Linked DNA regions of Macaca mulatta. The protein of the gene in region 1 interacts with the protein of each later gene in a pairwise test. Links are inferred from orthologs where the notes say so. Each region holds a gene or a part of one and is shown in the gene's direction. Other genes may lie near its edges.

What was found.
Region 2: the proteins of LMNA (region 1) and TOR1AIP1 interact in a two-hybrid assay, tested with the Homo sapiens proteins (2 studies listed by BioGRID). The link is inferred for Macaca mulatta from reciprocal best matches to the Homo sapiens genes LMNA and TOR1AIP1.
Region 3: the proteins of LMNA (region 1) and IFFO1 interact in binary tests that used the Homo sapiens proteins (3 or more experiments, as listed by UniProt). The link is inferred for Macaca mulatta from reciprocal best matches to the Homo sapiens genes LMNA and IFFO1.
Region 4: the proteins of LMNA (region 1) and BNIP3L interact in a two-hybrid assay, tested with the Homo sapiens proteins (2 studies listed by BioGRID and IntAct). The link is inferred for Macaca mulatta from reciprocal best matches to the Homo sapiens genes LMNA and BNIP3L.
Region 5: the proteins of LMNA (region 1) and SYCE1 interact in binary tests that used the Homo sapiens proteins (3 or more experiments, as listed by UniProt). The link is inferred for Macaca mulatta from reciprocal best matches to the Homo sapiens genes LMNA and SYCE1.
Region 6: the proteins of LMNA (region 1) and TMPO interact in a two-hybrid assay, tested with the Homo sapiens proteins (2 studies listed by BioGRID, with this or other methods). The link is inferred for Macaca mulatta from reciprocal best matches to the Homo sapiens genes LMNA and TMPO.
Region 7: the proteins of LMNA (region 1) and ZSCAN12 interact in binary tests that used the Homo sapiens proteins (3 or more experiments, as listed by UniProt). The link is inferred for Macaca mulatta from reciprocal best matches to the Homo sapiens genes LMNA and ZSCAN12.

Annotation. Positions count from the first base shown.
Region 1 is NC_133406.1:110,815,755-110,819,883, reverse strand, and holds the start of LMNA (lamin), read left to right. Parts: upstream 1-1,329; 5' UTR 1,330-1,540; coding exon 1,541-1,896; intron 1,897-4,129.
Region 2 is NC_133406.1:37,306,566-37,310,065, forward strand, and holds part of TOR1AIP1 (torsin-1A-interacting protein 1), read left to right. Parts: intron 1-20; coding exon 21-62; intron 63-1,494; coding exon 1,495-1,581; intron 1,582-3,500. UniProt on the Homo sapiens protein: Required for nuclear membrane integrity. Induces TOR1A and TOR1B ATPase activity and is required for their location on the nuclear membrane. Binds to A- and B-type lamins. Possible role in membrane attachment and assembly of the nuclear lamina.
Region 3 is NC_133416.1:7,497,169-7,500,668, reverse strand, and holds part of IFFO1 (non-homologous end joining factor IFFO1), read left to right. Parts: exon of another isoform or gene 1-191; coding exon 192-373; exon of another isoform or gene 374-495; coding exon 496-616; exon of another isoform or gene 617-881; coding exon 882-977; exon of another isoform or gene 978-1,144; intron 1,145-3,500. UniProt on the Homo sapiens protein: Nuclear matrix protein involved in the immobilization of broken DNA ends and the suppression of chromosome translocation during DNA double-strand breaks (DSBs).
Region 4 is NC_133413.1:28,123,808-28,127,815, forward strand, and holds the start of BNIP3L (BCL2/adenovirus E1B 19 kDa protein-interacting protein 3-like), read left to right. Parts: upstream 1-1,208; 5' UTR 1,209-1,265; coding exon 1,266-1,365; intron 1,366-4,008.
Region 5 is NC_133414.1:145,685,461-145,688,960, reverse strand, and holds part of SYCE1 (synaptonemal complex central element protein 1), read left to right. Parts: intron 1-1,828; coding exon 1,829-1,891; intron 1,892-2,603; coding exon 2,604-2,663; intron 2,664-3,021; coding exon 3,022-3,096; intron 3,097-3,500. UniProt on the Homo sapiens protein: Major component of the transverse central element of synaptonemal complexes (SCS), formed between homologous chromosomes during meiotic prophase. Requires SYCP1 in order to be incorporated into the central element.
Region 6 is NC_133416.1:105,806,526-105,810,569, forward strand, and holds the start of TMPO (thymopoietin), read left to right. Parts: upstream 1-1,244; 5' UTR 1,245-1,522; coding exon 1,523-1,801; intron 1,802-4,044. UniProt on the Homo sapiens protein: May help direct the assembly of the nuclear lamina and thereby help maintain the structural organization of the nuclear envelope. Possible receptor for attachment of lamin filaments to the inner nuclear membrane.
Region 7 is NC_133409.1:154,944,812-154,948,750, forward strand, and holds the start of ZSCAN12 (zinc finger and SCAN domain-containing protein 12), read left to right. Parts: upstream 1-1,139; 5' UTR 1,140-1,216; intron 1,217-2,063; 5' UTR 2,064-2,131; coding exon 2,132-2,533; intron 2,534-3,939. UniProt on the Homo sapiens protein: May be involved in transcriptional regulation.

The DNA of each region.
Region 1 (4,129 bases):
GGGACCAGAATAGGGGCCAGGATGAGGGGAGGGGAGTGGAAGGCTTATCAAAAGGGTCCTTGGTGAGGCCTGAGGATGGAGGCTCCAGAGCCTGAGCTAGCGAACCCTGGGGACCTGGGTGATCTCGTTTTGTGAGACAGCCTGGCCCCTCCCCAGAGCCAGCTGCAAAATGGACCTGGCCAGAGAGGAAAGTAGAGATGAATGTGGTGCTGGCCTTTGCAGCCAGCAAGGCTGTGGGGTCTTTGCTGTTCCTGCCCCCCACTACCTTCTTGCCCCCTACTACCTTCTTTCTGGCTGAAACCAGGATAGAGACCCAACGTTGGCTGTCCAGCCCCCAGCCCTGCTCCCCCTTTCAGGCCCCTCTGGGAACCACAGAAATCTGGGACCTAGTGTCCTGGCAACGTAATGAATGCACACACAGCTCTGGTATCTGTTTTAAATTATCCATTAAAATAAGTACAGTTCTGGGGGAAAAAAATTAAGTTGACTGGGTGGGGTAAGCAGTAGAAAGGGACTGAAGGGGGAAGGAACCCAAGCAGTGCTTGGGTCCAAAGGAAGGGGACAGGAGATGGAAGGGGGAAGTGCCTGGCTCCTATTCTTGGCCTTCTTTAGGGGACTGTGGCTTGTTGCTTGGGTCTAAAAACGAATACTTGGTTTTGAAGGGAGATATATTGGGGCAAAAGAAAGCAAAAAAGGGACCCCCAAACTCCTTGATCCCTGGCCCCAAATTGGGGGCATAAAGGAACTCAGGTTCCAGAACTTTGTTCCCCCCAGGGAACCCAGGCATTCCTTCTCCACCCCACTCCTGGCACACTGAGATGCAGCTCTGAATGGGCTGCCCACGTGTGGAGGGGGGGTTGGGGTGACTCACTATTACTACTGGGAGGACAGGGGGAGCCAGTGGTGGAAGAAGGGTGAGTCACACTGATGGGCACCAGCCTCAGCCCTCCCCCCACTTTCCTGGCTCCCAGCCCTGCCTGCCTGACCCTCTCCCTTGCTTTGCACCCACTTCCCTCTCTTTCTCCCCCACCCTTTTGCCCACCCACTCTCCCTCCTTGGCTCTGCCCTCTAGCCCAGAAGGTCTGAGGCAATGGGGGCAAGCTTGGAGCCGGCAGTACTGAGCAGCCAAGAGAGGGGAAGCTTAAGCCTCACGCAGTTAGGGGTGCGCTGGAGAGGGTGGGGCTCGACTCCGCCACACCCCAACGGTCTTTCCCCCTCCTCACCACTCCTGCCCCCACCCCCATGGATCTGGGACTGCCCCTTTAAGAGCAGTGGCCACTCCTCCCTTCAGACGAGGACCTATTAGAGCCTTTGCCCCGGCGTCGGTGACTCAGTGTTCGCGGGAGCGCAGCACCTACACCAGCCAACCCAGATCCCGAGGTCCAACAGCGCCCGGCCCAGATCCCCACGCCTGCCAGTAGCAAGCCGAGAGCCAGCCGGCCGGCGCACTCCGACTCCGAGCAGTCTCCGTCCTTCTGCCCGAGCCCCGAGCCCTTTCCGGGACCCCTGCCCCGCGGGCAGCGCTGCCAACCTGCCGGCCATGGAGACCCCGTCCCAGCGGCGCGCCACCCGCAGCGGGGCGCAGGCCAGTTCCACTCCGCTGTCGCCCACCCGCATCACCCGGCTGCAGGAGAAGGAGGACCTGCAGGAGCTCAATGATCGCTTGGCGGTCTACATCGACCGTGTTCGCTCGCTGGAAACGGAGAACGCAGGGCTGCGCCTTCGCATCACCGAGTCTGAAGAGGTGGTCAGCCGCGAGGTGTCCGGCATCAAGGCCGCCTACGAGGCCGAGCTCGGGGATGCCCGCAAGACCCTCGACTCAGTGGCCAAGGAGCGTGCCCGCCTGCAGCTGGAGCTGAGCAAAGTGCGTGAGGAGTTTAAGGAGCTGAAAGCGCGGTGAGTTCGCCCAGGTGGCTGCGTGCCTGGCGGGGAGTGGAGAGGGCGGCTGGCCGGCGCCCCTGGCCGACTGCAGGAAGGGAGTGAGAGGGCCTGGAGGCCGATAACTTTGCCATAGTCTCCTCCCTTCCCGGAACTGCCCCCAGCGAGTGACTGGCAGTGTCAAGGGGAATTGTCAAGACAGGACAGAGAGGGAAGAGGTGGTCTCTGGGAGAGGGTGGGGGGGATATAAGGAATGGTGGGGGTATCAGGGACAAGTTAGGGCTGGGGCCTGCCCGAATTCGGTCAGATTGGGATTTGCCAGCTATTTGGAGCCTGCGGGAGGGGCTTAAGCAAAACAGAACTAGCCCTGCCAGCTCGAAGAACTCTGGGCACCCAGGACACATATGAGTAGCAGAAAGGGTCCTGTTAGAACTTTGTTGGCGGGCTTGGCACTGGTGCCAGCTTTGCCCAAGCTGGCTCTGAACACATGATGCCCACTAAGACATGACTCCCAAGCTGGCATCTGTCCAGCGTGTTGGAGAGAGGTGAGGAAGGCAGGGCAATCCCCCTTTTCCCTCCCGAGGGCTTGGCGGTGGCCCCCTCGGCATGACCTTGTCCGGGGTTCTAAGGGTTGGGAAGCTGTCCCTCACTCTGCCACTCTGCGTGTCTGGGACCTTCCTTGGGCTCTGACAGGCCCACCAAAAGAGCTCCCGGAGATGGGAGATCGGGAGATTGGCTCCCCCGCAGCTCCCACAGCCCTTGGCCTGCTTGGCCCAGGAATGCAAGGGAGGGAGGGAGGCAGAGGGCAGAGGCTCCCAGCTCAGGAAGTTGTGTTATGCCCAGGTCTGGCCGCACTCCTCCCTTGGCCCACTGCCTAGTGTCTTCGAGGGTTGGGGGCACTGTCCTTCCCTCCTTGGAGTGAGCCACTTCCATTTTCCCAGCCAGGCCAGGCAGTCTTTGCTCAGGCCCATCCTCTTAGCTGCTGACGTTTTGATCTTTGTCTTATTAAAGTGCTGGAATACAGTGACATTTTTGAAATCCAGCCGTTGGAAGCTTCAGGCCACTCCTACTTTACCCACCCCTGCCCCACCCTACCCCACCCTGCTCAACTCCACCTTCTTCTTTCCTAAAAAAGCCTTGGGAGCTTGGAAGTATAGGCCTTCCTCTTCCAGTCCCCCCAAAATTTGGTTCCCTTCTTCCTGCCTTCCCTTTCTCTATGCAGACCCAGGCTAAGAGCACTAACAGGGCTTGGAGAGCCATAAAGGGCTGTTGGCTTTGACTTCTTCTCTCCCTTTTATCAACTACTCCAAACTTCTGCTCTTCCCAAAACCCTTTGCTAGGTGTGGTGGGTGTGGCAGATCCATCGCCCTTTTTTTTTTTTGAAAATGGAGTTTCGCTTTTGTTGCCCAGGCTAGAGTGCAATGGCACAATCTCGGCTCACCGCAACCTCTGCCTCCCAGGTTCAAGCGATTCTCCTGCCTCAGCCTCCCAAGTAGCTGAGATTACAGGCATGTGCCACCATGCCGGGCTAATTTTGTATTTTTAGTAGAGAAGGGGTTTCTTCATGTTGGTCATGCTAGTCTTGAACTCCCAACCTCAGGTGATCCACCTACCTTGGCCTCCCAAAGTCCTAGGATTACAGGCGCGAGCCACCACGCCGGGCCCATAGCCCTTCTTTCTGAAGAGTCAGTGGAAGTTGTGTGTAGGAAAACAGGCTCAACCTTTTTTTCTTTCTTTCTTTTTTTTTTTTTTTGAGACAGGGTCTCACTCTGTTACCCAGACTGGAATGAAGTGGTGCGATCTTGGCTCACCGCAACCACCACCTCCCAGGCTCAAGAGATTCTCCTGCCTCAGCCTCCCGAGTAGCTGGGATTACAGGCGTGAGCCACCACACCCAGCTAATTTTTTTTTTTTTTTTTTTTTTTTTTGTATTTTTAGTAGAGACAGGGTTTCACCATGTTGACTAGACTGGTCTCAAACTCCTGCCTTCAAATGATCCACCCACCTCAGCCTCCCAGAGTGCTGGGATTACAGGCGTGAGCCACCATGCCCGGCCATCAACCTTTATTTTGTTTTTTTGAGACGGAGTCTCGCTTTGTTGTCCAGGCTGGAGTACAGTAGTGTGATCTCGGCTCACTGCAACCTCTGCCTCCTGGGTTCAAGCCATGCTTCTGCCTCAGCCTCCCAAGTAGCTGGGACAACAGGTGCCTGCCACCACACCCAGCTAAATTTTGTATTTTTAGTAGAGACG
Region 2 (3,500 bases), about 74 Mb from region 1:
TGTATGCTTTTCTCTTCTAGAAGCCACCAGTGTCCAACAGAAGGTCAATTTCTCTGAAGAAGGTATTTTATTTTTAAATATCATACAATATATATTTGAAGTCTTTTTCTTTACATTAGAAGCCATTCTGATAGATACTTAAGAAGTGAGAACACAGCCGGGGACTGTGGCACATGCCTATAGTCCCAGCTACTCAGGATGCTGAGGCAGGAGGATCACTTGAGTCCAGGAGTTCTGGGCTATCTGTAGTGTGCTATGCCGACCGGGTGTCTGCACTAAGTTTGGCATCAATATGGTGGCCTCCCGGGAGCGGGGGACCACCGTGTTGCCTAAAGAGGGGTGAATCCATTCAGTTCAGAAACGGACCAGGTCAAAACTCCCGTGCTGATCAGTAGTGGGATTGTACCTGTGAATAGCCACTGTACTCCAGCCTGGGCAACGTAGTGAGACCCCATCTCTTTAAAAAGTGAGAACAGAAAATAATGTATTTTTCTTCATGAAAAAAAATTCATGCTTATCTAAACTGTTAACTGGGCAGAAATAATAGGAAAGATAGAATGAGTGATGACAGCCTTACATTTTAAGCATCTTTTGTCTATTTGGGTTCATTTTAAGCAAAGGTAATATTTGCTATTATGGTATTAAAATAATCAGTTTTCGGCCGGGCGCGGTGGCTCAAGCCTGTAATCCCAGCACTTTGGGAGGCCGAGACGGGCGGATCACAAGGTCAGGAGATCGAGACCATCCTGGCTAACACGGTGAAACCCCGTCTCTACTAAAAAAATACAAAAAACTAGCCGGGCAAGGTGGCGGACGCCTGTAGTCCCAGCTACTCGGGAGGCTGAGGCAGGAGAATGGCGTGAACCCGGGAGGTGGAGCTTGCAGTGAGCTGAGATCCAGCCACTGCACTCCAGCTTGGGTGACAGAGCGAGACTCCGTCTCAAAAAAAAAAAAAAAAAAATCAGTTTTCCAAATTCTCATAATCAGTTTATGTTTGAAAAGTACAGGAGTAAAATTTAGTTTTTGTTGAAGCCCAGCATAATCTGAGGGTGGTCACCTGCATAATAGAATGTTTGTGTGCAGGTGTGTATACACTACCCCTCCACCACCAACACACACACACACAAACACACATCTGAATTTAACTACACACTAATTATATGTAGTTTTCCTCCCCATAAACTTTTTCCACTGTTTAATGCTCATCTGTTCATTTTTGACTCCACATTAAAGGCTTAGAATATAGTTTTTTAGATATTACTGTGAATATTTGTTTAGGAAAGTATTATGTGCCCCAGAGAACACAAATTGAGCTAAATTTTAGTTCATTTGGAACTTTGGGATTCAAAATAATAAGCATGATAAACAGCAGATCTGTATCTGATAACCTAAAAGCCTTCTCTTAATGTTAAATTACTTGCTTGTTTTTTTAAAATTCAGATCTTTTGAGCATTAAAATAAGAGTATACTAGTATATTGTTTACTTCTCTTTAGGAGAAACTGAAGAAGATGATCAAGACAGCTCTCAGAGCAGTGTCACTACTGTTAAGGCCAGATCCAGGGATTCTGATGAATCTGGAGGTAACGTTGCTTTATATACATATGACTCTTCTCATAGAACTATCTTTGGTATTCCATGAATTTGCTTTTTAAAAAAAAACTTTCATATTTTTATTACTACTTCATAAAAAGTGAATTTTTCTTTTACTATTTATTAAAATTAATTATTTCATGTATAGATCTGATTAATAATATGTCATGACATCTAAACAAATCACTTTTAGCTTTTTTTGATATTTGTGGAAAATAAGATATTTTTGTGTTCAAAGGAATTTGTTGTTTTTGAATTTTATAGAGAAACTAATCACATTGCCATTGGAACTGACAACACTATCTGGAGTGTTACTTTTAGGAAGTTTTCATTTAATTAGATAACTACCTTTATCTCTGGATTTTCAAATTCAAACCAAGTTATTAATTAACAAGTTCTGATTGTTTATGTGAATTTAAGTTCATTCAGTGAAAGAGTTGACTAAAGACTAAAGAGAGAAAAATACCAGTTTGAGGCTTAAGATAATGTTGAACAAAAAAGATAATGCTAAACAAATTTGTAAACTCTGTAAATAATGAGTAATTTTATACTTTAGTCCTGCACTTTCCCCTCACCACCTCCTTAAAATTTCTGTAATTCCAATTCTTTTTTTTTTTTTTTTGAGGCGGAATCTCGCTCTGTCACCCAGGCTGGAGTGCAGTGGCGCGATATCGGCTCACTGCAGCCTCTGCGTCCCGAGTTCAAGTGATTCTCCTGCCTCAGCCCCCCGAGTAGCTGGGATTACAGGTGTGCACCACCACACCTGGCTAATTTTTGTATTTTTAGTAGAGACGAGATTTCACCTTGTTGGCCAGGCTGGTCTTAAACTCCTGACCTCAGGTGATCCACCTGCCTCTGCCTCCCAAAGTGCTGGGATTACAGGCGTGAGCCACCATGCCTGACCTGTAATTCCTATCCTTTACTTCATCATTTCACTTCAAAAATAAGTACATAAGGCTGGGCACAGTGGCTCACATCTGTAATCCCAGCACTTTGGGAGGCTGAGGCAGGCGGATCACAAGGTCAGGAGATAGAGATCATCCTGGTTAACACGATGAAACCCCGTCTCTACTAAAAATACAAAAAAATTAGCCAGACCTGGTGGCGGGCACCGGTAGTCCCAGCTACTCGGGAGGCTGAGGCAAGAGAATGGCATGAGCCCAGGAGGCGGAGCTTGCAGTGAGCCGAGATTGCGCCACTGCACTCCAGCCTGGGCAACAGAGCAAGACTCCGTCTCAAAAAAAACAAAACAAAATAAAATAAAAATAAGTACATAACCTGGTTTTGTTTTTGTTTTTTATTTTTTTGAGACAGGATCTCGCTGTATCACCCAGGTTTGAGTACAGTGATGCGACCATGGCTCACTGCAGCCTCGACCTCCCAGGCTTAAGCAATTCTCCTGCCTCATCCTCCCAAAGTGCTGAGATTATAGGTGTGGGCCACCATGCCTGGCATTATAAGCCAGTTGATGGGCATTTGGCATTCTGTGTATTTCCCACCCTTCCTCATTTTTCCTATGTATTTTTGATATAGAAATGGAGATTTGTAACACGCTGGTAGTGTCTAACCAGAATTCCTGGGTTCCATTCCTTCACTTTTTAGCTGTTTGCCCTTAGAGAGTTATTTAACTTCTGTGTTCCTCAGTCTCGTCATCTGGATTGTTGTGTTAAATTAATTCATATATGCAAAACATTACCTGGCACATAGTAGACACTAAGTGCTATTACTAGTGTTCATACGTGTTACATGAAGCTCTAAAAATCAGAGATTAATTAAACCATTTATATAGCCAATAGTTTGCTGCCATTGCTACCAGCATAACTATTTGGAAGTACATAAACCCCAGGTCCTGTGATCATGCCATCGCACTTCAGCCTGGGCGACAGAGCGAGACTCCATCTCAAAAACA
Region 3 (3,500 bases), on another chromosome or scaffold:
CTCTGCTGTGTGTCTGTGTGCCTGGCCCTTGGTGACTGTCCGTGTTTCTGTTCCTGTCATTGTAACTGTGACTTTTCTCTCTGTCTGCCCCACCCTTCCTGCTGGTTCACGCTTCTCCCCCATTCCCGCCCTCTCTGCCCGGCCTCCCGCTCCCGCCCTTTCTCCTCATGCACCCGGCCTCGTCTCTGTAGTCTCTGCACTTGTCTCCCATTAAGGTCCCATCCATGGGGGGGCGGAAGCGGGAGCGCAAGGCTGCCGTCGAGGAGGACACCTCCCTGTCGGAGAGTGAGGGGCCCCGCCAGCCCGATGGGGATGAGGAGGAGAGCACAGCCCTCAGCATCAACGAGGAGATGCAGCGCATGCTCAACCAGCTGTGAGTCCGCAGGCCGTGCTCCCGTAGCACCGATGCCACAGCAGCCCAGGAGGCCGGAGCTCCCCAGTCCCCTGCCAGGACGAGGCCCCGCCCGCCCTGACACCCGGGTTCCCTGTCTCTAGGAGGGAGTATGATTTTGAGGACGACTGTGACAGCCTGACTTGGGAGGAGACTGAGGAGACCCTGCTGCTTTGGGAGGATTTCTCAGGCTATGCCATGGCAGCTGCAGAGGCCCAGGGAGAGGTAACCTCTGCTCCCGGCCTCAGGGCCCTCTGGCTCTGCCTCTCCAGCCTGACGCCCACCCCCCCGCTCCTCTCCTCGCTCTGTCCCCCCATGTGGCTGTCATCCTCTACCTGCGTCTCCCCTCTTCCTTTATCCTTTTGCTTTTCTTTCTCCAGTTTCTTTAACCGGACTTCCTCTCTCTCTCTCTCTCTCTGACTTGGCCCTTGGAATGCGCCCTATCCCATCCCTCCCTGGCTGGCCTCCCCTGCTTCCCTTTCTACTCCAGCAGCAGGAAGATAGCCTGGAGAAGGTGATTAAAGATACGGAGTCCCTGTTCAAAACCCGGGAGAAGGAGTATCAGGAGACCATTGACCAGATAGAGGTAAGGGCAGGAGCGGAAGCCAGGGGCACAGTGTCCCAGAGGGTTTTGAGTGGGGCTGCAGGTGCAGTGGCCTCATCCCTCCTGCAGGACCCTAGAGACCAAGGTCTTGGGAGGAGGAGTGATCTCTCAGCTATAGTCCTTCTGGTGGGCTCTGAAGACCTCAGGCTCTAGAAGCAGAGAGATGTTGGTTCAAATCTCAGCTCTGTTACTTACAACCACTCTGAACGTGTAACAAGTTACTTGTTCCCTCTGAGCCCCTTCCTTCCTCCCTTCCTCCCTCCCTCCCTCCCTCCCTCCCTCTCTTCCTTCCTCCCTTCCTCCCTTCCCCCGTTTTTCTCTCTCTCTCTCTCTTCCCCTCTCTCCCTCTCTCCCTCCCTCCCTCCCTCTCTTGTCTTTCTGTCCTTTCTTTTTTGAGACAAGGTCTCACTCTGTTTCACTCTGTTGCCTAGGCTGGAGTGATCCTCCCACCCCAGCCTTCTGGGTAGCTGGGACCACAGGTGTGCGCCACCACACCCAGCTAATTTTTATTTTTTATTTTTTGTAGAGATGGGGTCTCCCTGTGTTTCCCAGGCAGGTCTTAAACTCTTGGGCTCAAGTGATCCTCCTGCCTCGGCCTCCCAAAGTGCTAGAATTAAAGGCACGAGCCATGTGTCCTGTCCTGTACCTGTTTCTTTTTCTTTCTTTCTTTCTTTCTTTATTTTTTTTTGAGACAGGGTCTTGCTCTGTCACTCCAGGCTCACTGCAGCCTTGATCTTCTGGATCCAAGCAATCCTTCTACCTCAGCCTCCCAAGTAGCTGGGACCACAGGCGTGTGCTACCACGCCCGGCTAATTTTTTGATTTTTTACAGAGACAGGGTCTCACTATGCTTTCCAGGCTGGCCTCAAACTTCTGGGTCCAAGCAGTCCTCCTAACTCGGCCTCCCAAAGTGTTGGGATTACAGGCATGAGCCACTGCGCCTGGCCTTTTTATTTGTAAAATGAGGAATTTAATAGTACCTCATCTATAGGGTTGTTTAGAAGAGCGGATGAAATAATGCACATATGGAGCTTAGGGCAGTGTCTGGCTCATAGCGAGTGTAGCATAGTGGGGACCATTTTATTATTATTAACACTATCAGTGCCATAGCACTGAGACGGACCGGGACTTTCCTGTTTCTTCCACTCAGCCGTTGAGATAACAGAAGTCTCCATGCTTTTTCCCAAGCCTTGAAGTACCTTCTAGAGGTACCTAGAGGCAAGTGGAGCTGGTGCTTTAACTCAAACTCTAGGCTTTAGGACCTGCAAGAAGGATTTGTGGAGGCCGGGCACGGTGGCTCACGCCTGTAATCGCAGCACTTTGGGAGGCCAAGGTGGGCGGATCACGAGGTCAGGAGATCGAGACCATCCTGGCTAACACGGTGAAATCCTGTCTCTACGAAAAATACAAAAAAAATTAGCCGGGCGTGGTGGCGGACACCTGTAGCCCCAGCTACTCACTACTCGGGAGGCTGAGGCAGGAGAATGACATGAACCCGGGAGGCAGAGTTTGCAGTGAGCCGAGATTGTGCCACTGCTCTCCAGCTGGGTGACAGAGCAAGACTCTGTCTCAAAAAAAAGAAAAAAAAAAAAGGAAGGATTTGTGGAACCACAGAATGGAGGTTGCTGTGGGAGGAGGGATGGACGGGACCCCTGTGAGCTCTCCTGGCCTGGTGAGATGGTCCTTTCCCGACGCTCTGACTTGAGGAGAGGCATGGAGCCTTCTCTGACTCTCAGCCTCTCTTCAAGCCCATGTGGGAGATTCATACAGTAGTGCCCTCTTACCTGCAGGGCATGTGTTCCAGGACCCACAGTGGATGCCTGAAACCAAAGATAGCACTGACCCCCGATAGCTTGGGTCCAGGTGCTGTCAACCGGAACGTGTTTCTGTTCATGTCTTCCACCCACACATTCAATGCTTTTTCTCTCTTAACTAAGACTTAGCATGCGGTGTGGCAGTACCTTTTGCAGTTCGAGGTGTGACAGCAAAACTGGCACAAACTTCTTTTTCCTTCTTTACAATTTCACGGATAGAAGATTCTTACTATAGACCTTAGTAACCTCAGTATCGGATTCTTTTTCTTATTAAGTTGAAAACTTTTACCTTTTCACTTAAAGGGAGCACATTTTGGCTTCTCTTTGGCATATCCAAATTGCCAGCATCACTACTCTTGTGCTTTGGGGCCATTATGAAGTAAAAGTAAGGGTTCCTTGAACACAGGCCCTGCGATACCATGACAGTCAATCTGATCACTGAGATGGCTACCAAGTAACTAATGGGCAGGCAGTGCAGACAGTGTGGATCCTTGGGACAGAGGGAGGGTTCATGTCCCGGTCTGGATAGAGTGAGATTTTTTTTTTCCCCCAAGATGGAGTCTCGCTCTGTGTCGCCCAGGCTGGAGTGCAGTGGCGCGATCTCGGCTCACTGCAAGCTCCACCTCCCGAGTTCACCCCATTCTCCTGCCTCAGCCTTCCGAGTAGCTGGGTCTACAGGCGCCCGTCACCAC
Region 4 (4,008 bases), on another chromosome or scaffold:
CATCTGAAAAAGACAAACGAAGAGAAACTTTAATAGTTACCTAACAGAGGTATTGTAGATAGCCCTGAAACAGACTCACAATTTTGTGGGCATTCAGAGAGTGACAAAGGTACAATTTCAAATCAGGGTAGAAAGGATGGCTTAAAATTAATATTATTGGGTCAATGGGCTACAAAATTGAGAATTGAATTTAAATCATTTACAGCATATGGAAAATAAATTTCGGATGGATTAGAGCTCTGAATGTAAATTTAAGCCTATAAGAAAATTAGAAAAAGTTATAAGGGAATTATAGATTAATTATTTTGGTGCGAAAGTCTCCCCAAGTCATGTAAGAATGATAAATCTGATTACATGAAAACCTTACGCTTCTACACAGTGAAAAAAAAATTAAAAGACAAGTCAGAGACTGAGAGAAACATATGTGACTCATAAATCAGACCAAGGAGACAGGGCGAAGACATGGAGACGTGAAGTAGGAGGTGTGCTCAGGAAAATAGTTAAATGTCATCCACGTACAGGATAAACGGCTTCCCACGTCATGTCCCAGAAATCGATTAGTCGATGGGATTTGGGTGATTGCTTTCTTCTGTTTTTCCTGAATTTTTCTCTTTTTTATTTCTTTCCCTTTCTTCTTTCTCTCTTTCTTTTTTACAATGATGGTGTGTTTGTAATCGACATTTTAAAAATTCTATAACAATTAAATTTGGGGGCGGCCTTCCCTTGTTTCCCGTATGGAGTGTTGATGTTTCAGCAGCTTTATTTGGAGTTTACAAGTGGAAGCACCTGGGTTTGGGGCTTCCTTTGTGTCCCCAAGACACCTATTGCAGGAGTGAGTCCTAAGCAGTAGAAAACAGATGCATGTGCAGGGCTGGATGAAGCACTATGGAGCCTGTGTGAGAGGAGGCACGGGCGCTAACACAGGAGCGCACTTCCTCATTCCGCTTCTTCTCATCCTCTCTCGCAGTGCCATTGTCATCACTCATCCCATCCGGTCATCCCAAGTCACACGCAAGAGTTCGTTCCCGGCGCGCGCGTCAGCTTGACTCGCGCGTCTCCACGTCCGGGACCCGCAGGGGAACGCCGCCGCCCCGTCCGGTCGCTTGTTGTGTTGTCATCACGTGGCCTGGGCGGACCCTGACGTCAGTGGCAGGGGAGGGACAGCGCAGGCGCAGAAAAGGGGGCGGGGGACTCGGCTTGTTGTGTTGCTGCCTGAGAGCCTGAGACGGTCCTGCTGCTGCCGGAGCCCTGCCAGCTGTCCGACGATGTCGTCCCACCTAGTCGAGCCGCCGCCGCCCCTGCACAACAACAACAACAACTGCGAGGAAAGTGGCCAGTCTCTGCCGCAGCCGGCCGGCCTCAATAGTGAGTGAGGGGCCGAGGGCTTGGTGAAGGGGATGGGGGAGGAGGAGCCGCCCCGGCCGCCGCCACCGGCGCGGCGCGGGAGGCGGGAGGAGAAGGCAGCTCATTGGCCCAGGCCGGTGATGTCCGGGTGACTGACAGCTCCCGTCACCTGTCAGGAGGATGGGCGCCTGCCTTGCTCCGGGCCTCTCTGTTGCCTCCTGGGGTCATGGGCCGGGGCCGTTTGGGTTCGCGGTCCGGGAGCGGCGCGGGTAGCGCGGATCCCACTGGTGCTGGGGGTGGTCCCCAGCAGCGGAGCCGGGCGGGGCGGGGGCGGGCCTGGGGGGCGGGGAGGCCAGGTGGGCGGAGCGGGCCGCGGAGGGGACGTGGGCCGGAATGGGGACGTGCGGCGGGGACGCCGGGGGATGGACGCGCGGGAGCGGGGCGGGGCGGGCGGATGCCGCGGGACGTGTCTGGGATCAGGTGTGCGGGGCCCGCGGGCGGGCAGCGTCTGGCGGGCTCGGGAGCCCCCAGCGAGCATTCCTTTGTTGCCACATGTTTGTCAGGAAAATTCATTTGCTGGTCTAGGGGCTTCAGTCACGTGTGGGGTGAGAGGCTGTGCCTTGCTTCTCCTTTTTCCTTTTTTAATTTTTTTTTATTAGCTTTCTCGAAGTTGCCCAAGTGATTTTTTTTAAGCGATGAGGTTGTGCGCCCAGTAAACCTGAGAGCAGCCTCCTGAACCACCCGGGACTGCACACGTCAGGGAGTCTGGGGCCATGCATTTAAAGAAACGGAATTAAAAACGCACTCGGGCAATTGAAAGTTAACGGGCAAGGCTGATGGACAACCCAGGCCAGGGTCTTTTCATAACATTCCACTGCCCAGACATCTTGTCCTCAGATTGTTCCTGGTCGTGAGAACCGGGAGCCTTCTTGGAAGGGTTCTTGCCTAACCTTTCTTTAATTCAACTCTTGGGAAAGAGATAATGGGGGTAGCGAGCATATGGCCAGATGAAGGCTTTTCAAAACCGCTTGGATGCTTAAAGGTCATGCAGTATCTTTCGTAAGAGGGAGATGCTTCCAGCGTGGCCTGAAGATTATTCTAGGGAAGAGAGTTTCAGCCGTCACCAGGTAGCAACGGAGTTTGGAGATTTTAAGACGGATGCTGCTGCTCCAGGTTTTTTGATGGGTTAATACCCAAAACCTTTAAGTGTCCTACATTCCAGAATGTAAGACGGTTATGTTATTTCCCACAGTAAATTAGGATGAATGTCTGAGTCATTAAACGTTACTCGTATCACATATTCCTATGCAATTTTAAGTTATTTGCCCATGTTTAGCATACTGTCTTAGGTTTGAGAATGGGAAAAACTTCAGAGCTAGCTAACTGCCTCCTGTTGTTTACCTGTAGAGAAACAGGTCTAGAGTTAAGAGCCTGGTCCAAGTTCACAACTGGCTGGGAGCAAAGCGGAGGTTGTCATGTTCAGCCTGTCTACTGCTGTTTTCAGGGAGGGCTTTTTTTTTTTTTTTTTTTTTTTGAGATGGAGTCTCGCTCTGTCTACAACCTCCACCTCCCAGGTTCAAGCGATTCTTCTGCCTCGGCCTCCTGAGTAGCTGGGACTACAGATGCTTGCCACCCGCCCAGCTAATTTTTATATTTTTAGTGGAGACGAAGTTTCGCCATGTAGTTGGGATTACAGGCGCCCGACACCAACCCAGACTAATTTTTGTATTTTCAGTAGTGAGGGGGTTGGTCTCTCACCATGTTGGCCAGGCTGGTCTCAAACTGCTGACCTCACGTGATTAGCCCGCCTGGGCCTCCCAAAGTGCTGGGATTACAGGCTTGAGCCATCACACCCGGCCTCTTTTCAGGACTTCTTTTCAGTGGTCCAGAACCTCCTGCTGGTCTGTGTGTCTTATTTTGTCAGTGTGTTATTCTACCTAATTCACAAAGGTGGCCCACCTTTCTGTTTCTTTTTAGTATTCTGTTTCTTAATTGTGCAATTTTCTTATGAGTGAAGATACTTGGTAGGTGTACATGATTTCACTGAAATCTAAGGGATTTTCATCTTCCTTTGACCCTTTAACAACAACAACAATAAGGGCTGAGCCAGGCAGGGCGTGGTGGCTCATACCTGTCATCCCAGCACTTTGGGAGGCCGAAGCGGGTGGATCACTTGAGGTCAGGAATTCGAGACCAGCCTGGCCAACATGGTGAGAGACCAACCCCCTCTCTACTGAAAATACAAAAATTAGCTGGCCTGTCGGGCGCCTGTAATCCCAGCTACTCAGGAGGCTGAGGCAGGAGAATCGCTTGAATCCGGGAGGCAGAGGTTGCAGTGAGCTGAAATCGGGCCACTGCACTCCAGCCTGGGTGACAGAACGAGACTCTGTCTCAAAAAAAAAAAAAAAAAAAAAAAGGGCTGAGCCATATGTCATTGTTTATCTTGGAGTCTGACAGACCTATGAGGAGTTTGATGTCTTTGGCCAGTCGGTTCCTGCTTGGTTGACATCAACTCTTACAGAGGTGGAAGTACTCAGCCTGCATGGGATATCAAAATGTTGCTTTGGGAAATCTAGATAGAAAATATTTTACGTGGGATAGGGTGAGCTTTCTGAAAAGCTTTTAGATAATGCCATATTTAATTACTCCCCTCTTTCCTCTTAA
Region 5 (3,500 bases), on another chromosome or scaffold:
AAAATCAAAACTCTTCTCCCCCTTTTTTACTTTTACTGGCCGTTTTTTCTTCCCCCACCACCACTTTTCTGATGGGAATTTAGCCACTTCAGAGGCCTTGTTCCACATAATTTGGAACTTTCCTTTGGATTTGATCAAGTCAGATAGAATTGGCCAAACCCAATGGGAAAAGGACCAAAACAGCAAAAACAGAAAGAAACAACAAAAAAAATAGCGGTTAAGCGTAACAAACAAATGATCACACAACTTGTATGATTACTGAACACTGTAATGGTAAGGAAAAATTAAGAGCAGCTGGTTGTTAATCTTACCTTTAGCCAAGACAAACCCCAATTCAGTTACTTACCTAGGGACGGGTCTTAGGCTGAAGACTTGTCTCTATCATCTTAGAAGCAGGAAAAAAAAACCCTCAAACTTGTCTTTCCTGTTGGGAGCGAGTTCAAACTCCAGAAATGAGTTTTCATGGTAGCAGGAAAACTTGCCTTCCTTGTTGAAAGCAAGTAAAACTCCAGAAAAAGAGAAGAGTTGTTCAGAAAATAAACTCTGGCCTTCGAACGAATTTTGGGAAATGAGGGATTCCCTGGATAGGGGACTTCCAGACCTCAGCAACTTGTCAAATTAGTTTGAGCCACAAAGATAGCCAAGCTGCTAGCAGGCACTGGTAGAATATTTGTCAAAGGTCAGGAGCACCTCTACTCAGAATCCCTTTGTGGTTGCCAAAATGTGAAACCCCAAAATCTGAGACAGGTCTCAGTCAATTTAGGAAGTTTATTTTACCAAAGTTAGGGATGCATGCCTGCGACACAGCCTCAGGAGGTCCTGATGACATGTGCCCAGGATGGCAAGGTAGTCAGAGCACAGGTTGGTTTATATGCTTTTTAGGGAGACATGAGACATGAATCAACATATGTAAGATGAACATTGGTTCGATCTGGAAAGGTGGGTCACCTCAAAGCATTGATGAGACAACTTGAAGCAGGGAGGTTGACTTCAAGATCATAGGTAGATAAAAAACAAATGGTTGCATTATTTTGAGTTTGTGGTTAGCCTTTCCAAAGGAGGCAATCAGATATGCATTTATCTGAGTGAGCAGAGAGATGACTTTGAATTCATTTATTTTCAGATTTTTATTTTACAAAATCAGATACGCATCTATCTCAGCAGAGGGTAACTTTGAATTGATTTATTTTCAAATATTTATAAAAAGATTTATTTTCCTTTCACAATGTTAATGCCATAAATAATTTCTTAGATCTACTAATTTTAGTGTTAAAAATAGGTTCCAATAATTATAAAAAATTAATATGAAATATTTTATGGGGAGATTTCAGGTTTAGTATTGGTTGTATATAGGAAAGCTATTTGTATTTATGTATGTTTTTAAACTAACATCCTAAGGCATTTTGCTACTAATCCTTATGGTTTTATAGAAAACTCTCTTAAGAACTTCCTAGATTATGTCATCTGCTAGTTACAGTGATTTTTGACTCCTTGTTCCAGGTTTTTATACCTTCATTTTTTTTCTTGAATTATTATATCAGGAGCTTTGACCTTACTTTGAACAGCCTCAGCAGTGAGAGTATACCCCTGCCCTCACCCAGAGTTTTACAAAGGGCTGCCTGGTATAATTTTATCCTGCAGGGAAAAGCTGACCATGAAGGAGCCTGATTCATCTAGTGTACTGTTCACCTTAGGACAAGGAGCAGGGCTACCACTCTGGCTGGAGACCTGCCCTCAGTCTACCTCAGTCTCAGCCCAGGGGCTGTCAGATCCTTCCTCTGGCCTCTCGCCCTGCTTGATTCTGAAATATTTGGTTTTGTCTCCACAGGGCAGGACACATCCTCACAGAAAATTGAAGACTTGATGGAAATGGTGAAAAAGCTGCAGAAAGGTCATGTGTCTCCTTTGTGTGAGGCTCAGCCTGAGATTTGGGGCCAAGCAGATGTGGGTTCAATTTCCAGCCCCACAATGTATAAACTTGGGAAATAATCCTCTTCATCTTCTCTTTCTTTTAAAACTTAATTACTTAAACTAAAAATCGGGTCCCATGATTCAAAATTAAAGAAGGAAAAAGGGTAAGGAAGGCAAAGTGTTTTCCCAAAACCCTGTCCCAAACCTCTTGCTGGTCACCCATTTGGCTCCACTGCAGTCCATTAAATCCAGAAGTTGCCACCTTTACTTCCCTTCCTTTCCCCTCAACCCCTACTCCCTCTTTGCTCACTAGGCTCCTGCCAGCCATGTTCCCACCTCAGAGGGGGTCTTTGCACTGACTACCTCCCACCCCAACCCAAAGAGCTGCAGGGCCTGCCCCCCGCCACCTGATTTGGGGCTCTCATGATACCTTCCCATATCTGAGGAGCGCTTTCCACTCCTTTGCGCTTTAACCCCCCTTGCCCTACTTTATTTCTCTTGAACACAGTTACCACAGCCCCACTCAGTATCTTATTGTGTCTGTTCCCAGTCTCGCCCACCCAGAACATGAGCCCTGTGAGGGCCCCACACAGCACCTGCTTTCAGTAGGTACTGAATAGATCTGTGTTGCGTGAAAGCAGCAGAGACACCTCTGCCTGCCCTGTCAACTCAACCTCCTTTCCTCCCTGCAGTGGGAAGCCTAGAGCCCCGAGTTGAGGTCCTGATTAACCGGATTAATGAGGCCCAGCAAGGTGAGTTCAGGGGCCTTGGCTGCCAGCTAGTACCAGCTACATGGTTTGCGGGGCTCAGTGCCAAATGAGAATGCAGGGTCCCTTGTTCCAAAGTTACTGGTTATTCACAACAGCAGCAGCAGAGCCTTAAATTAAGTACAGGGCATTTCAGCATGCAACTGCCATAGTTAATATACCCATGATCCTAGCCCTGCTATCAGCAGAGCCTGGCAAGGAGAGCCTGGACTCTGGAAGCCTCGTTTCCTACTGTATAAAATCTAGGCCACTATAGATTTTCCTGAAGGCAAATGAGAAATGTCACTGTTGGCAAGAGAATAGAAGCTGCACTCACACAATGTTTTTCTGCTCTCTGGTGAAGCCAAAAAGAAAGCCAATGAAGACCTAGGAGAGGCCCGGACCATCTGTGAGGCCCTGCGGAAGGAACTGGACTTGCGTAAGAGAGCCGGGGGTCACCCAGAGGTCCCCACAGTGTCTCAAGCTACCCCAACCCTGTATTCCAGATGATAAGCATCCTTGCCATGACCGAGGGTCCTGTACCCTCTCCAGCCTCATGTCCTGCCAGTCTCCCCCTCTCCTCTCTGCTTGTGGAAGTGTTCAAGAAATACCCTCCAACCTCATTCCCACCTCAGAGCTTTTGCCAGGTGCTGCCTATGCTTCCTCAGATAATACAGGTTCCTCTTTCCTCACATCAACAGTTCTAAGTTAGAATGTCCCCAGACAGGATGACTGGCATTCCCCAGTCATCCCATCTAAAGGTGGCACCCTGTCACCATCTGGTCACATGCCCCTTCCTATTTGATGTGTTTCTTCACAGCCCTTACCCGACTTCATGGGTGT
Region 6 (4,044 bases), on another chromosome or scaffold:
TATATGGATACTGAGATTTTTATAAACTAGTTACCTCTAGGAAAATATCACTAAAAGAAGTATCTCCTCAATTTGAACAAAAGTAAGTCGCTTAAATCATAGGAAACATTTTTAGTGAAAGCGTTTGTTTTAAATATATTCTAACCTAACAGTGTAGAAAGCAGGCAAACCAAAAAAAATGTAATCAGTTTCTAAAATATAGTTTGGAGCTCAGATTCTGGGGAAATTATTAACACATTCTTGATCCAAGGTCTCCTTTCTTTTCTAGAATCTTTAATCATACATATTCATCAGAAATACAAATATTTGTCATCAGTGATACTAATTTTCAGGCAAACATTTTAATTGCAGTCACTACCAGGTTTTAATTTGGATTAGTAATACGGGTTTGATTAGGGTTCTCGGCCTAATTATAGGTCACTAGGCTTCCTTTAGGATTACGCAACATCTGCTATTTTAAATTGACCATTGAGGGGGTTCCCAAGGGTTCGGCTTCGTTTTGTTATCAAACGTTAGTGGGATCCAAAGCCAGGATCGGTTTCAACAAAAATGCAAGCGCGAATTTGTCTTGAGTCTCAACGCACTGTTCAAATTAAACAATTTAGACATGCCCCAACTACGAGACTAAGAAGTGAACGGTATAGTACACTTTTGTCACAAATTCAAGGGTAAAGTGCCCGATGGTAGAGGTCTGGCTTCTCCCGGGTTTCTGGAACAAAAGAAGCGTTCGCGAGTAGACAGAGGGGTAACTCCCTGCCCTCCCCCTCCCAAAGTAAATCAAATCAAGGAATATGAGTGCCTGCAGACAAGTCTCGCTTCTTTTCTTCCCCTTCATGGCTAGCGTTTGGGGAAGGCAAGGCTGCGGCTACTCTTCGGTGCTTCAGTGTCCCGGGAGGAAGAAAGGCCCAGACAAGGGTCCTCACAGCCGGCGTGGAATTCGGCCGGTTCGTAGGCGATCGACCCCAGAGACGAAAGCTGCTTCTCAAGCTGGGGGAGGGAGAGGAAACGGCGCACAAAAGCAGTACGACCTGTCCCTTATCGGCGTCTAAGGGGAAGGGTGGAGAAAATGAAAACAGAAGCGGGCCGGGCGCCTCGGCTCCCGCCCCAGCGCCTTTTAAACTGCGTTTCTACCTCCTCTCGCTCAGCGCGGCGGCTAATGGAACCCGCGCGGGCCGTCCCGCCAATCACCGCCGCGCTTCCTCCCGTCGCCCGCCAATGGCGCCGCGCGTTCTTGGGGCGTGGGCGAAGCAAGCTGCTCGCCTCCTGCCTGTAGTGTGTAGGCTGGGGTTGGTGCGGGCTTCCAGCTTGGCTGCACTTCGTCCGTAGTTCGGCTCTGGGGTCTTTTGTGTCCGGGTCTGGCTTGGCTTTGTGTCCGCGAGTTTTTGCTCCGCTCCGCAGCGCTCCTACTGGGCAGGAGCCGTGAGGCTCGGAGGCGGCAGCGCGGCCCCCGGCCAGGAGCGAGCGCGCCGGCGTGAGCGGCGGCAGCGAAGGCTGCGGGGAGGGGGCTTCGCAGATCCCCGAGATGCCGGACTTCCTGGAAGACCCCTCGGTCCTGACGAAGGACAAGTTGAAGAGTGAGTTGGTCGCCAACAATGTGACGCTGCCGGCTGGGGAGCAGCGCAAAGACGTGTACGTCCAGCTCTACCTGCAGCACCTCACGGCGCGCAACCGGCCGCCGCTCGCCGCCGGCGCCAACAGCAAGGGGCCCCCGGACTTCTCCAGTGACGAGGAACGCGAGCCCACGCCGATTCTCGGCTCTGTGGCCGCCGCCGCGGGCCGGAGCCGAGCAGCCGTCGGCAGGGTAAGGACGCGGGGCCGGGGCCACAAAGGCGGGCGTTTGGCGGTTGCCGCGCGCGCTCGCCGCCGTTTGCAGCCCCTCCCTCCCGGGCGCCCCCTTGGGCCTCCCAGGTGCGGGGCTGTCCCTGCGCCCCCTCGCGTTGCCCCTTCCCCGCGGGGCTGCAGGCGCTGGAGCGGAGAGGCCAGAAGTTGGGGCACCGGGATTCGCGTTCTTTGACGTGTGTGTCTGGGAGGTGTGGAGTTGCGTTGGTGGCGGTTGTTTTGCACGCGGGCGACGCGGCTTCCCTGGACCACCAGCTGCCGGCAGCGGGCGTTTAGACGGGGACTTCCGTGGCCTTTCGAAAGCTCTGGAGGGGTGGCCCCAAAATGCTATAGGTTAAGTTCGAGCGTTTTCCCGCTTTATTAACTGAAATGACTCGCAGCAGAGTCTCACAGCGCTCCCTGGAGGGCAACTGATGACACACTAATTTCTAACCAAAATTTGAATTAAGGAAATTCCCGCCTTTTTATACTTTTGCGTATGGAGGGCTTTTTGAACCGTTTATGTTTTCTAGTTTAATTTTTCCCACCAACAGGACATCTTTTGGCGGGACGGCTTCACGCAGAATTGAAAGGAACAGTTTAAACTACATTTTAAAGCGCCTATTATAATTTTTAAATATTTATTTATTTATTTTTGAGATGGAGTTTCGCTCCTGTTGCCCAGGCTGGCGTGCAATGGCGTGATGTCGGCTCACTGCCACTTCCGCCTCCCGGGTTCAAGCGATTCTCCTGCCTCAGCCTCCCGAGTAGCTAGGATTACCGGCATGCGTCGCCACGCCCGGGTAATTTTTGTATTTTAGTAGAAACCGGGTTTCTCCATGTTGGTTAGGCCGGTCTCGAACTCCTGACCTCAGGTGGTCCACTCACCTCGGCCTCCCAAGTTCTGGGATAACAGGCGTGAGCCACCGGACCCGGCCCTATAAACAAATATTTGAAAATTACTCACAGTTTGGATTGCGTTTTTCTCCCTTACTGGTAAATTTTGCTTGAGGAAAGGAAAGAGGATTCAGGAAAAATTTATTGCATGACATTCTGGTGCAACAGTATTGCAATTTGGAATGTCTGATCCTGGTTAAATCTCAAATCGGCTCCAGCAAAGCATGTTTTGTTTGAGAATAGTTTGCTTTTTTTCCTGTGGATTTTAATATGCTTTTTGTGTGTTTGCTTATGCCTGCCGAGTTACCAGGCTTCAAGTCGTAGTAGGATGAAGCTAAAACTAGTAATTGGTGTAACATAAAATGCCTTGTAAGAGACAGTGAATGTGGTGTTTGGGGTTGTTGCGAGTTATCACTAGTGTAAACCGAAATTACTCCTTCCTTCAAAGTTTACTTTAGTTTTTAAGGAACCTGTCTAATGTGTTTTCCCAGCTACTCAGGCAAAAATGAAAGACAAATGTAATAGACACAGGTAAATTTAATTGAAAATCTTATCCTAAGTTTTAGAGAAGTTGAACGTCTTAACAAACGTCTTAAGTCCGGTGTGTGACACATAGTAGTGCAAAATAATTGTACAATAAATAAAAGACCTATCACACCTTATTGTTTCAACGTCTTGTTTTGTGGAAAGCTACTTTAATTTATTAATAAACAAATTTACTTTTGAAGTAAAGTGTGCCCTTTTACCCATTATGTTCCCCTGTTCTGAAAAAGAAGGTAGTATTTAAACTCTTTCAGTAGACGTTGGTTGAGGCCGGGCGCGGAGGCTCACTCCTGTAATCCCAGCACTTTGGGAGGTACAGGCGGGTGGATCACCCGAGGTCAGGAGTTCTAGACCAGTCTGGCCCACATGGTGAAACTACTAAAGAAAAAAAAATACAAAAATTAGCCGGGCCTGGTGGCAGGGGCCGAGGCAGGAGAATCGCTTGAACCCGGGAGGCGGAGGTTGCAGTGAACCGAGATCACGCCATCGCAGTCCAGCCTGGGGGACAGAGCGAGACTCCGTCTCAAAAAAAAAAAAAAAACAGTTGTTTGAAAATGAAATATTCAAATCCGCACACTTTATTAAAAAACCTAGTTGTTCTATAGAACCCTTTATCGGTCCTCTGTGCAAATGTATTAAACCGTGAAGTTTTTGGTTGTATGTTTATAATATAATTACTGGTTATTATTTTTAGGCAGGATCTCGCTCTGTCACCCACACCAGAGTGCAGGAGTGTGATCATAGCTTACTGCAGCCTCAAGCTCCTTGGCTCATGAGAGCCTCCTG
Region 7 (3,939 bases), on another chromosome or scaffold:
AATGGTTGTCATCCCAGCACAACTTCTAAGTTCTTCATTTCTCTGTTGACATGTGGTGTCCCCTTCATCATTTACTCAATATCCTTACATACCTGGATCTATTTCTGGTCTATTCTTTCTCTCTGTTAATACAATAAAATCATATGGGTATGTTCCAGTATCTGATAAGGCTGACCCTCACCATTGTTCTTTTTCATGGGTTTCCTGGCTATTCTTATTTTCCCACTTGAACTTTATAATCAGTTTATCTAATTCCAGAACAATATTTGTTGATATTTTTGTTGGAATACTAGAGTTGCATACGTATTTAGGGAGGATTGACCTCTTTGAGTCTTTCTAAGAACCGCATATTGCTTTCTGTTTGTTTAAATGTACATCTGGCCTTTTAGGAGCTTTTTAAAGCTTTCTCCATAGAAGTTTTGTTCATTTCTTGTTAAGTTTATTCCTAGTTTCAATTTTTTGTTGCTATTGTAAATATAGTCTTCTCTTCCATTATATCTCGTAACTCGTTATCATTGATTATTCACATATATGAAGGCCATTGATTTTAGTGTGTTAACTTTATATCTTGCTAATTTACTAAATTATCCTTTTTTTTAATAGTTTTTCCATTGAACCGGGTTTTCTGACATATAATCATACATCGGCGCATAAAAGAGAACATCAAGAGGATCGTGGATGGCGAAATAGCCGGCAGAAACCAGCCCGCTGGCCCTTGAGAAGTCTGTGTGGAAGAAATCCCTACGCCACCGCTAAGCGCGGATTTGGGAAGCTCCCCGGGAGAAGGTCCCCCGAGAACATCCCTTTGAGGCATCTCTAACCTCAGAGACACAGAATCCCAAAGTGAATGGAGACGCAAGGGATTTCCCTGTCTTAAGATCAGTTCTACAAGCCTTGACCACCCATCGGGCCGGGGGAAGTGTGGACAATGGCTGAGTAAAGAAGAGGAGAAAGATAAACCCGTTCCGTTTACCCGCGGGTCTGAGAGCCATCATCACCCTTCCTCTCACGTAGACGCGCGGAAACACTACTACCGAGTTGAAAGCCCCTTTCGCCCCCTTCCTAGAGCGGCCGCGGAAGTGCGCCCCACGCGGGTTGGTTCTCAGCCCTCCTGTGGCCGCTTCCGGACTTTGTGGGTCACTTTTGATGGGTTCCGGGTCCCAAAAGGGTTCGAGGCCTTTAGGGGGGAGTTCTCTTCTGGCCCGGGGGGCCGCAGGTGAGCGATGTTGTGCTCTGTATGCTGCGAGGAGGTGGGCGGAAGATTGCTGTATTCTAGTTGCTGGGCCCCTCGGCTCTGGCCGGTGCAGAATGGACCCTGGTCCTCCCAAACCCAGGTGGATCCGCGGGAAGCTCTCCCTCCCCAAAGTGCGCTGGGAGACTAGGATGAGGGATCGGCTCCCAGTCTGCAGCAGTTCCGTGCTGTAAGGCCCATACCTACCTTCCGCGTTTGCCTCGGCGTTGTATCCTTGGGTTCAGCGCGTACCGACATTTCTAGACAGTGGTGGTTCACAGACGCTGGCCGGCGTCCCAGGGCCTTCCTCACTTCAGATTATAATCACAGACCATGAGGATAGAGGGAAGGCTTAAAGAGTAACCTCTTCAGGCTTCTCACTTTATAAATGAAGAATAAGGAGCGGAAAGTTTAAGTCCCTGAGGAAATAAATTTACATGACTTTGTTGCTTTTGTGATTTCATGGTTTCTACCAGACATCTGGACATTCAAAAGATAAAAGTAACTAATCAAGGATGTCCTAACCTTTTATCATTATTGTTTACTTGATCTAAATGTTAGTTTTATTCCATTTGTCTTTCATTTAGGACCAAATGAGAATAAGTTTACTAACAAGTCTTACTCTTCTTCTTAATGTCCTGAAACAACTTGGCACCTTTCCTTAGTCTTTCTCTTTAAATTGGTCTAATCTTAAGTCTTTTCTATCAGAGTATTTTTCTGAGTAAGTATCGTACATTAACCTGGAGGCCAGATTTCAAAGATCATAGTTCTCAGAATTTGCAATTTTACTTTATGGTGGAGTTTGTGTTAATAATGATGGCTTATTCCTCAGGACTGTCCAGGAATAAATTTTCCAGGGGAGATCTTACTTGAAACACCGGTAGTTCTGGCACAGCTAAAATGGCATCTACTTGGGCTATCCAGGCCCACATGGACCAGGATGAACGTTTGGAAGTAAAGATAGAGGAGAAGAAGTATACCACCAGACAGGATTGGGACCTGCATAAAAACAACACCCATAGCAGAGAGGTCTTCCGTCAGTACTTCAGACAGTTCTGCTACCAGGAGACGTCTGGTCCCCGTGAAGCTTTGAGCCGACTCCGAGAACTTTGCCATCAGTGGCTGAGGCCAGAGACCCACACCAAAGAACAGATTCTGGAGCTGCTGGTGCTGGAGCAGTTCCTGACCATCCTACCTGAGGAGCTCCAGGCCTGGGTGCAGGAGCAGCATCCAGAGAGTGGCGAGGAGGTGGTGACTGTGCTGGAGGATTTAGAGAGAGAATTGGATGAGCCAGGAGAGCAGGTGAGAAAAAAGATGTGACTTCTGTTTGAGAAAAGATAAATTGTGGATTTCTAGGCCAGAGTGAAGAACAGCCATTTTTTCACAAAGCATGTTTTTTGACAGTTTGATGCATCAGAAAGGGGCATGAGTTTCAGGGAAAGTTGGCTAATGTGGTCCCAACTTATTTATAACTTTTCTGTGGAAGGATTTTATATTTCTCTATTAAGCTACAAAATTCTGTTTGATAAATATGCTGCTCATCTTAGAAAACTTCTAAGACAAGAGAAGGTATCAGAGAGATGAAAGTAGCAGGATGGGAAGCAGTCTCTTGGAGGGGCATCACTCTGTTGCGCAATACAAATAATTAAGAATTAAGGTTTTGCAGATATATCCATTGCTCTGACTCCATTACAGGGTTTTAAAATGGAAAAATTAACTATTTCAGGGGAATGAGATGTGGGAGTACAATGGAAAGTTAGTGAGGAGAGCAGGGTGGGGTTCTGTGTTTCTTTGAGTAGTAGAAAGCCCAGTTAGGTTGGAAAGGTGAATTCTGAGTAGAAGAGTTGAGATAGTGTCCAGGACCTTGAATCTCAACCTCTGGAATTGAGATTTTATTCTGTAGACAGACGCCCCTAACCTTTTCTTCTTGAGTCTAAATGACCTTTACTAATTGTAAGATGTAAAAGAGAACCAAATTATATAGAACTTTTTTGTTTTGTTTTTAATACTAAAATGAGACAGTGGTTGTCAACCAGTGCCAATTTTGTGCCCCAGAGGGCATTGGCAATGTCTTGGGACATTTTTGGTTGTTATAACTCAGGGAGGTGCTCCTAGTATCTAGTGGGTAGAGAGGACAAGGCTAATGCTAAGCCTCTTACAACACACAGAACAGCCCCAGACAACAGAGAATTATCTAAACCAACATGTCAGTAGAGCCAACACTAGGAAACCCTGATATAAAGAGTTTGAAACTTAGGGAAATAATGAAATGGAAGTATAATCTAACACTGTGATACAAAATACAATAGAGAGGGTAGGAACATGTGGCAAAAAGATCTAAGTTTGAAATAAGATCACGAGGCCAGGCGCAGTGACTCATGCCTGTAATCCTAGCACTTTGGAAGGTCAAGGGAGGTGGATCACCTGAGGCCAGGAGTTCAAGGCCAGCCTGGGCAACATGGTGAAACCCCATATCTACTAAAAATACAGAAATCAGCCGGGCATGGCGGCACGTGCCTGTAATCCCAGCTACTTGGGAGGCTGAAGCAGGAGAATCACTTGAACCTAGGAGGCAGAGGTTGCAGTGAGCCAAGATTGTGCCACTGTACCCCAGCCTGGGCAACAGAGTGAGACTCTGCTTAAAAAAAAAAAAAGAAACAGGATCATGAAAGTGTGATTACCAAGGATGAAGAATGTCTTAGGTAAGA